Linked DNA regions of Arabidopsis thaliana. The protein of the gene in region 2 interacts with the protein of the main gene of each other region in a pairwise test. Each region holds a gene or a part of one and is shown on either strand. Other genes may lie near its edges. The genes, in order: TOC64-V and MGP1.

What was found.
Region 1: the proteins of MGP1 (region 2) and TOC64-V interact in a two-hybrid assay, tested with the Arabidopsis thaliana proteins (one study listed by BioGRID).

What each region holds. Positions count from the first base shown.
Region 1 is NC_003076.8:2,926,126-2,932,763, reverse strand, and holds TOC64-V (translocon at the outer membrane of chloroplasts 64-V), read right to left. Parts: upstream 4,592-6,638; 5' UTR 4,449-4,591; coding exon 4,207-4,448; intron 4,003-4,206; coding exon 3,850-4,002; intron 3,761-3,849; coding exon 3,636-3,760; intron 3,546-3,635; coding exon 3,420-3,545; intron 3,312-3,419; coding exon 3,129-3,311; intron 3,046-3,128; coding exon 2,901-3,045; intron 2,718-2,900; coding exon 2,549-2,717; intron 2,378-2,548; coding exon 2,240-2,377; intron 2,132-2,239; coding exon 1,931-2,131; intron 1,821-1,930; coding exon 1,693-1,820; intron 1,614-1,692; coding exon 1,562-1,613; intron 1,308-1,561; coding exon 1,238-1,307; intron 1,094-1,237; coding exon 1,014-1,093; 3' UTR 743-1,013; downstream 1-742. Other genes in the region: AT5G09430 (alpha/beta-Hydrolases superfamily protein), read right to left, coding at 1-602; EICBP.B (ethylene induced calmodulin binding protein), read right to left, coding at 5,473-5,595, 5,668-6,012, 6,112-6,638. UniProt on the Arabidopsis thaliana protein: Chaperone receptor mediating Hsp90-dependent protein targeting to mitochondria.
Region 2 is NC_003071.7:9,319,451-9,324,795, forward strand, and holds MGP1 (MALE GAMETOPHYTE DEFECTIVE 1), read right to left. Parts: upstream 3,418-5,345; 5' UTR 3,169-3,417; coding exon 3,130-3,168; intron 2,753-3,129; coding exon 2,659-2,752; intron 2,271-2,658; coding exon 2,126-2,270; intron 1,935-2,125; coding exon 1,824-1,934; intron 1,565-1,823; coding exon 1,418-1,564; intron 1,289-1,417; coding exon 1,166-1,288; coding exon of another isoform or gene 1,162-1,165; intron 1,070-1,161; coding exon 1,006-1,069; 3' UTR 740-1,005; downstream 1-739. Other genes in the region: AT2G21860 (violaxanthin de-epoxidase-like protein), read right to left, coding at 1-157, 247-540. UniProt on the Arabidopsis thaliana protein: Mitochondrial membrane ATP synthase (F(1)F(0) ATP synthase or Complex V) produces ATP from ADP in the presence of a proton gradient across the membrane which is generated by electron transport complexes of the respiratory chain.

The DNA.
Region 1 (6,638 bases), on a different chromosome or scaffold from region 2:
GAGAATCTTATGAGTTCCTTAAGCTTTTCCGGCGTCTGAGGAATCAAAATTCCGGTAGCTTCTTCTAGATTCGGCACCTTAAACAATCCGTCCTCCATATCTTTCTCCTCCAAACAAACCCCTGCGCAGCACAGCACAAGCTTCTCAACGTTCTCCGGAAACTGCGCCGCTAAACTATACCCAACGAATCCACCGTAACTAATCCCGACGATGTTCATCCTCTGGACTCCGTGCGCTTCCATTAACCTCATCAGACACCGAGCCTGGAAAGATTCGGTTCGGTTTGGTTCCGATGTGGATGATAACCCGAAGAAGAGGAGATCGGGAACGTAGACGTTGAATCGGCCGGTGAAAGCTCGGAGATGTTCTCCGTATTGCCACATTGCGTTGGCGCCGAATCCGTGGAGGAGGAGGAGATTAGGTTTAGATCGATTCGGGGATTTAGGAATCCAACAATGCATAGCTGTTGATGCGATTGAATTGCCGTGGGAGAGATCTGTCGTTACGGAACGTAGACCGGCGTTTGCGAATGATTGCCGGAATAACCAATCTCGCGACGCCGTGAAGCTGAAGCATCGCAGCAGTTTCATATGATCAAACATTTTTGATTCGAATAATTCAAAAATGAAACAGAGGAGAAGATACGGAGGCGTGACGATGACGAAGAGGAAAAAAACAAACAACGAATTCAGTTATTTGTCGAGAAATTGATTGTAAACGTGTCATTTATGGGTCCCTCCGTGTAATTTAAGGAATTACAGTATTGGACTTGGGGGAAATTGTAATTTACGTAAAAGACCGTTAAGAAAACAAAGAAGCTAAAAGGACCCCATAAAACTTTTCAGATCAAGTAATTAGAGGTAGAAGTTTTCATCCCAATCTGTACACATGTCACAAAACCACTAAATTATTAGTCTGTTGAAACCGGAGCAAAACCTTTCCTTTTTAGGGTTTTAGATAAGTGAAAAGATAGATTGGTGAACAAGAGAAATCGAGTAATAATCCTTTTTAACTCATATGTGTTTTCGGAGTCTCTTCTCAGCAACCTTTGCCGTCTTGTTCTGTGGTTCAAGGACCAATGCGTGCCTGAAATCTGCAGAGATGATCAACCATAATGTTACGCTCCAATACCCTACTAGAGAGAGTAACTCATCTGGATAGCTAGATGAATTTTATCTTTTAACAAGTTTCTCCAATGTGATAAAATTACAATCTCAGAGTAGTTTAATCATCATACCTGCAGCAGCTTCCTTGTACCGTACAAGTGATTCTCTAGCAGTCCCTCGTCTCAAATATGCCTTCACATTCTGTAGAAACAAATAACTATTATAAGAATCAAAGCTTCCAAATAATGCGTCATTGTGTCTATAGTGAGTGATCTGAGTGATAATGAAACTAGATAGTCATAGTACAAAGGTATTACGCCGCAAATCAAATAAATAAAAAGTGAATAGTTTTGTTCCAGCTCAAGTGTACTTAAACACAAAACCATGTTAAAAACACAATGTAACAAAACAAACTACGAGGGATGGAGAAATAAGGCAGCTAATCAAGTTTTCACCTTCTTATCGATCAACATGGCCTTGGTACAATCTTGTTCGGCTTGTTGGAAGCTATAAACAAACTCTCAGATCAGAAAATCATAATAAATTATATTCAGATCAGAATGAAAGATATGAAGAGAACAATTACCAGCAAAGTTCCAAGAAAGCTGCAGCTCTATTGCAATAATAAGTAGCATTTGCTCCATTCAATTTTATAGCTTCTGTATAAAAGTTTACCGCCTTATTCCATTGTTTCCCCTTGTATGCAGCATTGCCCTGGAATTACATTTTATCCACTGTTAACTTTGAGAACATTCCAACTCCAGTAGCATATCATGGATCAGAACCAAATATACTATTTGTCAAACTCAAAGAGATAGTTTTACCTTTTCTTTCATAACTTCAGAAGCCTCCATGTTACCATTGGTGTCAGACACTGGAGCTAAGTTGGATGCAAGTTTGGCTTGGTCTTGAAGGGATGCATATACATCGAGAGTTGTATCGAGAAGGAACTTATCACCTCCATAGTAAGTAAGAAGCGACACGGATATTGGACGATCACCATGTTCCCCTAAAGGAATTGTAACCTGAAGAATATGTATATATTTGTGTCATGACTAAAGACTGAAGAGTAAGGAAAAGGCAACAAGAATGTTCCCCAACCATTGAATGAGAAAGAGGAGATGGAAATATACCTGACAACATCCAGACATGCTTGCAATGCAGGAGAGTGCATAAGTACGATCAAGAAACTCATTCAAAGATTTATTTCTCTTTGTGTTAAGCCTTGGAGGGGGATCAGCAACTGTGGGGATTACCAGAATTCCATCTTCCTAGTAATAAGATACCGATCTATGGTTAATCATAATACCATAGAACTAAAAAGAAGCCGCAAAAATGAAAGTTAATAATTCAATCTCTTCAGACTTCAGTGTTTTGGTGGCAAAATGTCCTCAAGACACTAATGGCTGTGAAAATTTTAAATTTCCAAAAATCGAGTTTACCTTTAAAAGGCTTTGAATGGTGGCCCGCATCTCATTTTTCACTCTGTAGAGGGATTTAATGCTCTCGTTTTTGCTCTTCAGAGCTGTAACAACATCATTGGAAAATCTTGGCCCTAGAAACGATTTGCATGTTTGCCACCATTCTTCATGATTTGTTTTGAACTCATGCCTGGTAAAAAGAAAATCCTTTCTTCTTCGATATTTGCATATAATACAACTTAAGAAGAAAATAGTAACCTCCAGCAAAGAGGGAATAACAACAATCTTTTATTGCACCCGTTTAAAAGGAACGAGAGAGAGAAAAAAGTATTGATGCAGTGAAAATTTCAAGAAGTGTGAGCTTCTTAAATACCTTTGTATAGCCAACATCACAGATGAAAGAGCCCTTAAAGTTGATGCTGAATTTTGGGATTTCCCAGATTGCTCACAGAATTCCGCAAGACTTGGTACATTTGAAGCGACATATTGGCCAACGTTAACATGTTTTGGAGTCTTGTCTGCATGAGCCAGTGGTCAAGAGACATAAGATATGAATCTGGAGAAGGGCAAAGAGAAGGAAACAATACAGCTGCAAACTTACAGCCAGATAGATTCTCGATTGCCTTTCTGACAACTTGCACCGACTTTTGCTTAGGAATGTCAGAGAGCTCGAATAAATCATCAGCAAAGATTAAAGATCTTTGCCTTCTATGTGTTACTGCACTCAGATTTAGTAAGGCATGTCCAACTTGACACAAAACGGATGGATCAGAGGCAAACCATCCTACAGAACGAATCAATGAGTTCAATAATCAGGAAGGCAAACACCTAGAGTAGCATGTACCATTGAAACTACACTAAAAACACTAAAAGGGAGGGGAATGTAACGTACCAACAGTCTCTAGGCTCTGAGAATTGGGCAAAACTCCAACTGAAGAAACAGTCCCCTGAGATGGTCGAAAACCAAGAATACCACAAAAGGCTGCTGGGACTCTAACACCACCAGTGGTATCAATCCCTGCAAATCAAGCATCTTTTGATTAGCATAAAGAACCAAACGTAATCCAAGAAACACATTACCAAGAGAAAACGAAGAGATTAACAATACCAAGTGAAAAGTCAACGAGTTCAGCCCCAACAGAAACTGCTGAGCCACTGGAACATCCTCCAGGAACATTATCTGGCATCAATGGATTAATAGGAGTTCCATAGTGCTTGTTTTCTCCAATAATCCTGTAAAATCACATTCAAAACACAAACTTTCTTCAAACCAACTACCGAAAGGTCATTTCATATGCAGAATGGTAGGAGTGGAGAGATACCCAAAACCCAGCTCATCCATTATAGTCTTGCCAACACAAGTAGCTCCATTTTTCAAGAGCGTCGTGACAACCACAGCAGTTTTCTCAGCAGCCTCATGAGTCTTCTTCCATTGTGGACAACCAAATCCTGTGATATAATCCTTAACATCGAACCTGTCAAACCATTAACCCCGATATAACTTTATTCATTTCATTGCAACATGACTTCGTCTAAGCAAGTCAAAATCTCAATTAAACCAAACAAAAGTTTTGAACTTTATAAGCGAGATCATTATATAAAGCAGGAAAAAACAAATTTGAAAATAGGTTATGATTTTTAAGAGAGAGAGAGAGAGAGAGAGAGAGAGAGATACATACGCGTCGGAGATGGAGAAGGTAAGACCAGAGAGAGATTGTTTAGCAGCAGGAGGAGGAGGCGGAGGGAAAGGAAGAAGCTCGAAACGATCTAAGAAAGCACCAAAGTCTTCTTCTCTAAGGGCTCTAATCCGCCGCTTCCGGGTCTCCGCCAGAATCACGATCCCGGCCACCGTCACGCCGATCACTACCCAAACTTTGGGATTCGAGGCATTGCTTTGAATCAAAGAAAGCGTATTCGACATAACGCGATCTCACGAGAAAGAGAGAGAGAGAGAGAGAGAGACAAGGGTTTTAGGAGGGTTTAAGAGAGAAAAGGGGAAAGAAAAATAGGAGAGAGATTTGGAAGAAGCAAACACAGATGCTATCGTGCGCACTGTGTCTAAACCCTTTTAATTACGAGTGATGACTTGGCCAGCCGTGAACTCAAGTCCGTCTGCCCAAGGCGAATCTTCTCTTTTTGATTGATTAATAATTGTCTTTACGAAATCGATAAAGAAATTAAAAAAAAAAATTAAATTAAGAAAAATGGAAATTTTAATTTTAATTCCTTTATTTATTAGAATTACTCGTTTCAATTTTTTTTAATAAGCTTGTACAAATTGATTTAGGTTTATAATTTCTTTTGTTGGCCATTTCTTCTCTTAATGAACTTTTCCACTCGTGGAAAAATAGATTTTAAGCTAGTCAAGCCACTAAAAACCTCAATATAATAATGAAAAAATTAAAATATATACTGCTATAATTTATTGTTAAGTTTCCATTTTCTGTAGCCTTGCCCGTCAATCCAATTTTATCTTCAGATTATAGGAAAATCCAAGTTAAGTTTTTTTTATAGCTTTAATGGTTTACCAATCCAAATTTGGTAGATAAAATGGCATGTCGACCCGGATTTATAACCTTTAAAAGTTAGCTCAATATCATACTACCATTCAAATTTAAACTATAACAATATGACTGATGTATGAGTTTGACCAAAACAAATATGATGTATAAATTGCAGAAAACAGCTAATAAAGAGAAGAATATTCAATACGGATACAAATATGAATCAGAGTAATCCAACACTTGGCTATATAATATTAGCAGAGAAAAGCCAAATGAACAAATAAAAAAGTTATATATTGTTAAGACGAAAGAAAATAGTGAATAATTCTATTTCAATCCAAGTAATAAATTAAGCGGTAAATATCAACTATGGTATTTACAGAGAAGAAATAAAGTTAGAAAGTAAAAGAAGGAAAAATGAATACGAGTCAGAAAGTAAAATCAAGGAGAAATAGACATCATCAATGTGTCATCGTTCAAAAGAGACTCAATGTCAATAAAATCGTCTTCTTCACAGTTGACTGCTTCTTCTTCTTTATTGTTTATAGATGCACTTGATGAAGCCTGCAACAACAATTTATCACAAGAATGCTCAACAAAATATGATTAACTGATTATGTTATGGGTCTTGGGTACCTCATTTTCACGGAAGCCCTCAACAACCGTTAGGAGTCTACGGTATTGATCCCGTGCTTCTGGGTATTGAACCATCGACTTAACACGAGTCAGAGCCTTCTGTAGCCTTTCCTCTGTTTGTTTTCTTCCCTCTTTAAGATAATCATACTCATCTTCCTGTGGGATCCTAGGACATATAGCTGATACAGGCGGTTCCGGTTCCACGGTTTTGGCGACTGCATTGCGTTTAAACCCTCTCAAACCATTACCTTTGCGTCTCCAACGCAAAATGATTTTCTCGAGTAATCCCACAGACCAGATGACTGTTCGGTATTGTTTCCGGACCTGATGTCCTCTCACATGAGCCTAAAGGTAAATGTAATATGATTCCAGCAATGAGAAACCAGACAAAAGACTTATGCAAAGAAATAAGGGGGAGAAAAAAAAACTCAATGAAAGGCAAACCTGAATTTTAACGATTCTTTGTCGGATTAAAAGAAACTCTTTTCTCTTCTTCCAACCACGATATTTCTTCTGGATATGGGTAGCAGCACAACTAAGAGAGACATCACCCTGTCCTGGATTCTTAGTTTTAGAAGCTGCAAAAGAAACAGCTAACTGGTCGGAGATATCAATCTTTTCATCATCGCCAATATCACACAGCTGTTTCCGTTGGAATGATTGCATCCTGAATACTTGATGGAGACGATCAGCCGCTTGCGTAGCATTACGGACAGCAGTAAGTGAATCCTTCAAGGAAAGTTTCTCTGGTACATCGCCATAGGTCATAGGAGCAGCGGTTCGCTCAGAGACTGTTTGAACAGCTTTTTCTCCACAAGAGTTGGCAGGGCTATTTTCCTTTGAGTCCACTGTTAGCTTTTCAAGATAACTAGTTAAGGAAGACTCTGCAAGAAATCCCGAAATTCCCCTGTGTCCATTTGCGTAAGCCAAATCAGCTGCTGTTTTACCCAATGGAAGCTCTGGAGATGGAT
Region 2 (5,345 bases):
TCACAGATTCTGAGTTATTAACAGCAACGACAACCAAGATATCAGTCTGATTCAGTTCCTGTGTCAGATTCATAGCTCTCTGATCATTTGAACTCACAATTTCATCATCAAAGACGAGCATTTCATATCCTTCATCAACCCATTTCAATCTTCTCGCCTGTTAATGTAAGAAGAAAAACGATACAGAAACCGAAATGTTTAGGAATTTGCAACAATTGTTAAGCGAGAGAGAAGACAATTACTTACAGTGTGGAGCATAACTTCTTCCCAAGAGGTGGATTTGAGTGGGCTTACTTCTCCTTTTCCGACGAGAGCAATCAATTTCACCGGAGGCTCAGGCTTCTCTATTTTCGTACTCTTCTCCGTCTCCAAAACGCGAACAACAGTGGTTCGTCCCCGTCTGGAGAACGATGCTTCATCTAAGGAAGGATGAAACTTCCGGATGAAATTAACCGGTTGATGAGTGACGAACCGGTTAAGGAAGGGAGAACACTCTCTCGTTCCAGGAAGAGAAGGAGCTTTGAGAGGAATCGCCGCCATGGCGAAGAAAACAGTTGTTAACGTCTCTCAGACAAACCCATTATAATTGTTCACAGACAAGCCACGTGTTCGATATGATTGGTTTAATTCATCTAGAATGTATGATACTCCAGATCCCATTTCGGTTAGATTTGGTTCGAATTTGGTCTACTAAATACAAAACTATAATAGTTTCTCGGGTTGATTTTGCTTGCCACGCTTTTGTTTCGAATTAACATCACAACTTTTATTAATTATCTCAAATTCCAGTGATCACCATTATCAAAAAAACATGAAACAACGTTTGTGTCTAAGAATCTCAAGCGTAATAACCACAGAGAGAGTTAGACTCAAATCCAGGTGAGAGACCTTATTGAACGCCAAACCAAAACAGCAGCAAGGGAACGATCTTCTCTTTCAAAGACAATCAAGTGAGAGATCTTTGCCTTTTCTTACAACAAATCAAATGTTTCTAAGGATCAAACCTTAGATGAAGTTACGGATGTCTAGAGACTTCACGTCCGGCATTTCCTCATCCTGGAATTCCTCCCTGAATAATCCGCAAGTTCCATCGCGTTATGACATGAGTAAGATCAATGATTGATAAATTGAGAAACAAAAAAAGTGAAAAGAAAACAAAACTCACTTCTTTTTCTGAGATTCCATAGCTTCAACAGCATCACTCTTCAGCTCATCCAACTGTGCTTTGGCCATGCTGAGCTCCAAATTTTCTTCGTACTTAGGAAGATCTTCTTTCCTAATCCCAAGCCTGTTTAGATTAATGAGACGCAAACATGCAATTCAATTAGCTATCAATATGTAAATCGATATACATATAAGTAGTAATGAGAATCATTTGTTCGTGTTTTGTATGGATGGTTGAAGAATGATGACGCACTTTTTGTTGCCTTTCTCAAACTCTGCAACCAAAAGATCCATTCCTTTCTTGTCACTTCTCAGGAGAGGCTTCTTTATGTCCTTCTCGACTTTCTCCAAAGCCTCGAACATCATGGCCTCAGCACCAAGCTCATCAGTAAGCCCCCTCCTGCAAGATATATCACAAGTGGGAGTATAACTAAAGACTGCTTCCAACAATTCTTCATATGTTGCAAACAATAGCAGATCAAAGAGGGAGATGAAAATATAGATAGTTAAATGCAGTCTTCAGATAACTGCTTAACGATCACATTCAAGATCTTACAGGAAGATAATTCCAATATTATAATAACATAAGAAGAGCAAGTTTACGGGTGAGGGAAAACTATCCTAAGATAACTGAAAATTATTCAAAGTCTAACAGCTACCTGGTGCGAATTTCCTGCAACTTCAACAAGTATGCACGAGCATCTGGAATGTCTTGAGTCTCAGTATCAATGTCATGTTTAATGCGCTGAGATTCTGAGAACATGTCTGCCCTGCATACCAAAAAAACGGATGACAAGCAACCAAATTAACAAGGTTAAAATAGCAGCATTGACACATATATTTAACTCGTTTCAGAAAAGTCGAAAAGTAAAACCAATCCCAACAAACAGAAATAGAGATCACGACATACAACATTCAAGCTAAATAACAAACACCTACAAAAGAGTAACAAGAGGCCTACTTTTGCCTGATGGTCTTCATTACATTTGCATACTGTTTTACGGCAGCTGGGTCCTCTGGATCAAGGGTGATCTTTTCCTTACGGAGAATATCAACAGCAGCCTGGAATTTGTTCTTGATATCAAAAAAGACACCCTTCAACATCTCTGTCAAAAAGTGTAAAACTTGAGTCAATAATAGTAAACAGCAATGCTTCTTCACTCTAAACACATAGTACAGATTTCAGCAACATATTAAACATAATCCATCATAAACTGGATACATATAAAACTCAACAAAAGAAGTAAGCAGAACAACAGTCCTAGCAATCATGGCCTGGGTTTCACAAGATTATATTACATTGACCAATATAGTTTTTCTACACATTCGACATAAAAAAAGTGACTTGACATATTCTTAAGTAGTCACGATGTTAAACTCAAAAGCACGAAGGGCTAAAGAAAGGAAAGCAACTGTTTTCAACTAGGTGTGTTATTGAAAACGTAATGTTCTATGCATAATAACAAATCCGAAGTATGAGTTTTGGTCACTAACCATCTCCTTTAAAGGTTGGACGAGCAGCTTCCTTAGCAAAAGCTCGGACTGGAATAGCATGTTGCTGCTGCAAAATGACCAGACCCCCCTGTAGCTGCGTAATGAGAGTAAGATAATAAAAATTATGGATCAATAACAAGTTTTGATGAAAAGAATACTTCTTGCAAATCATCTTATCATTTCGAACTGTATTAGAAATCAACAACGAGTAGAAAAAAACCCCATCAAATTTATCATTTGATTTCAACAAACTCTCCGATTGAGATCGTACGAAAGATAACAAAAATTCGACTACGATATTGAAATGGCACACCCTAAGATGTGATTCAGTGATAGAGATACAGTAAAATCGATAATCTCACTCTAACCATCGCATCGAAACACATAAAACCCAGAAATGGGAGGAAAACAAAAGGAATCAAACAGAACGAAGAAGAGAATCAGAAAAATCGAGGGAGAGAGAGTATATACCTGCTTAGATCTGGAGAGAAAACGAGAAGCGTACGCCATTTCCTTGATCGAATCGAGTCGCTGTGGAGTTGACGAAATTTAGGGTTTGTGGTGTCTTGTTGAGATCCTATCTGAGCGACGGAGCAGAACAAGTAACAGGCAAAGGCAGTAATTGTACACCGTTGATAGTAATCAACGGCTGAGATTTATTCCCAATACGGAATATCTGAAAATAATTTGATTTTATTTTTTACAATTACACTATGAAAATCTTAATTTTTCTATTTTTTTTTTTTAATACCTTTTTTCGATCGGTCAACTTTTCCATAATGGAAGTAACTAAGTGATTACAAGGAGAGTTCTTGATAAGTGTCAGCCAAGACATTGTCATTTCTACTAATAAGTTGAACCTATAGGAAATATTTGCCAAATGAGACAAGGTGAGGGATTACTCCAATGTCTAGTAGCGGTTTCAAGGTATTTATAAATAGTTGATAAATCTCCACAGAATATAACATGATCATCGAGGTCGGTCAAAACTATATGGATACCTAAAGCAAAAATAATTTGGTATATTAACATAAATAGTCAAAAAAAATTATAAGTAATAGATTCAACAATAATTAGAATCAAAACTGTGACTGATCATTGAAAACTGAAAAGGTTCGGACAGACCATTAGACCATTTATCTAAAGCTCTTATTATTACTGTTACCTAAAGCTTTTGTTTCATGGACTTTAGTCACGGACCGGTTTTGATGATCAAATTGCAACCATTTTAGTTGGAGGGTTGCTTCCTTTAAGACTAGAGCCTCTCCTTCTGCGACTGAAAAGGTGGTTCTTTTAACGTTTATCCTTTGAGAGCATACATCTTTTCTCCCATTTTTTGGTTTTCAATATGTTGAATCTATTCAATAGTGTTTAATCCACATATGATTTTTTACTTTTTCAACACTCTCATCGTATGTGTTCAACAGTTGAATAATTTATTCAACACTCTCATTACATATAGTCTTATTATCAAACTCATAGTTTGACATATCTCAGTCATCATAACTCACAACTCAGACATAGCAACCCTCAAACTCATGCTTGCGCATATTTTGGTCGTCGACCTTTAACCCCCCCCCCCCCCCCCCCAATTCCATCACTTATCTTCTCCTTATTCCCATGATCATGCAATATACATTACTAGCCATTTCGTTCCACCATTGCAGTCCATGTACTTTCGCCATTTTTACAGTTTAACAAATCATGTATTACTTTCCCGATTGAATATTTTTCTATAAACATTTGTCCCACTACATATGCCTCCTGATGATCTCCAAGTACTCTCTCTAGAAGAATCACATTCACTCATCTTTCCAAGCTCATCATATGTCTAATTGGGAATTGCTTCCGGACTTGGTACAAAACTGACCATGCTAGCTAGTTCATTAAGAATTTGTCCATGTATAAAGAACTTGATAGGAGGAATCAAGCCCATCAAGACAATACCATGAGTTAAGTTCGGTTTCCAACGTTTAAACCTACTTTTGCTACACCAAAAATTATGCAATCAACTTGTACATAATTGATTATCGGTGGATAAAAATAAGATATACATGTTGCAAAAAAAAAAAAGTAAGATTTTACTCTAAATGGATCAGAGAAACCACATCTTCAAAAGACTTGATAGAAATCCCATACTGAGAATGTTCAGTGAATGTCAATTGATTTTTGAGTCGGAAATTCACATAACGCTTAACAAAATTTACGTTTGAAAATGAGTTGCAACTAAAAGCGAAAGAGCAAAGTTGGTTGTTGTTTTTTGGTTTAAAAACAATGTTCACAAGAGATAACAAGAGTCTCTTTTATGACATCCAATACAAATATTATTGGTTAGAGTCAATAAAAAAGAGCACTAAGGAGAAATACAAAATTGGTTGAGCCTATAAAAGGGAGCATTAAGGAGAAGTAGTTGCGCAGAGGCGGAAAGACTCTACACCAAAATGTGTTTGTTTTTTAATGCCACACCTAAACGTTACGCTTTCAAAAAGAATAATCAAATGGAGTACTACTAATAGACATATATAGGTAGAACAAATCCAAGTGATTCGGTGATGGTACTATAAGTTATCTCAACGAAAAGGTTTACAAAAATTAAATAGAAATTAATTAATGCTTTACATGAATCAAAACACTCAGAAAGTAGTATGTATCAACTGTTTTTTGTCGTTAATAAACCTCTATAAATG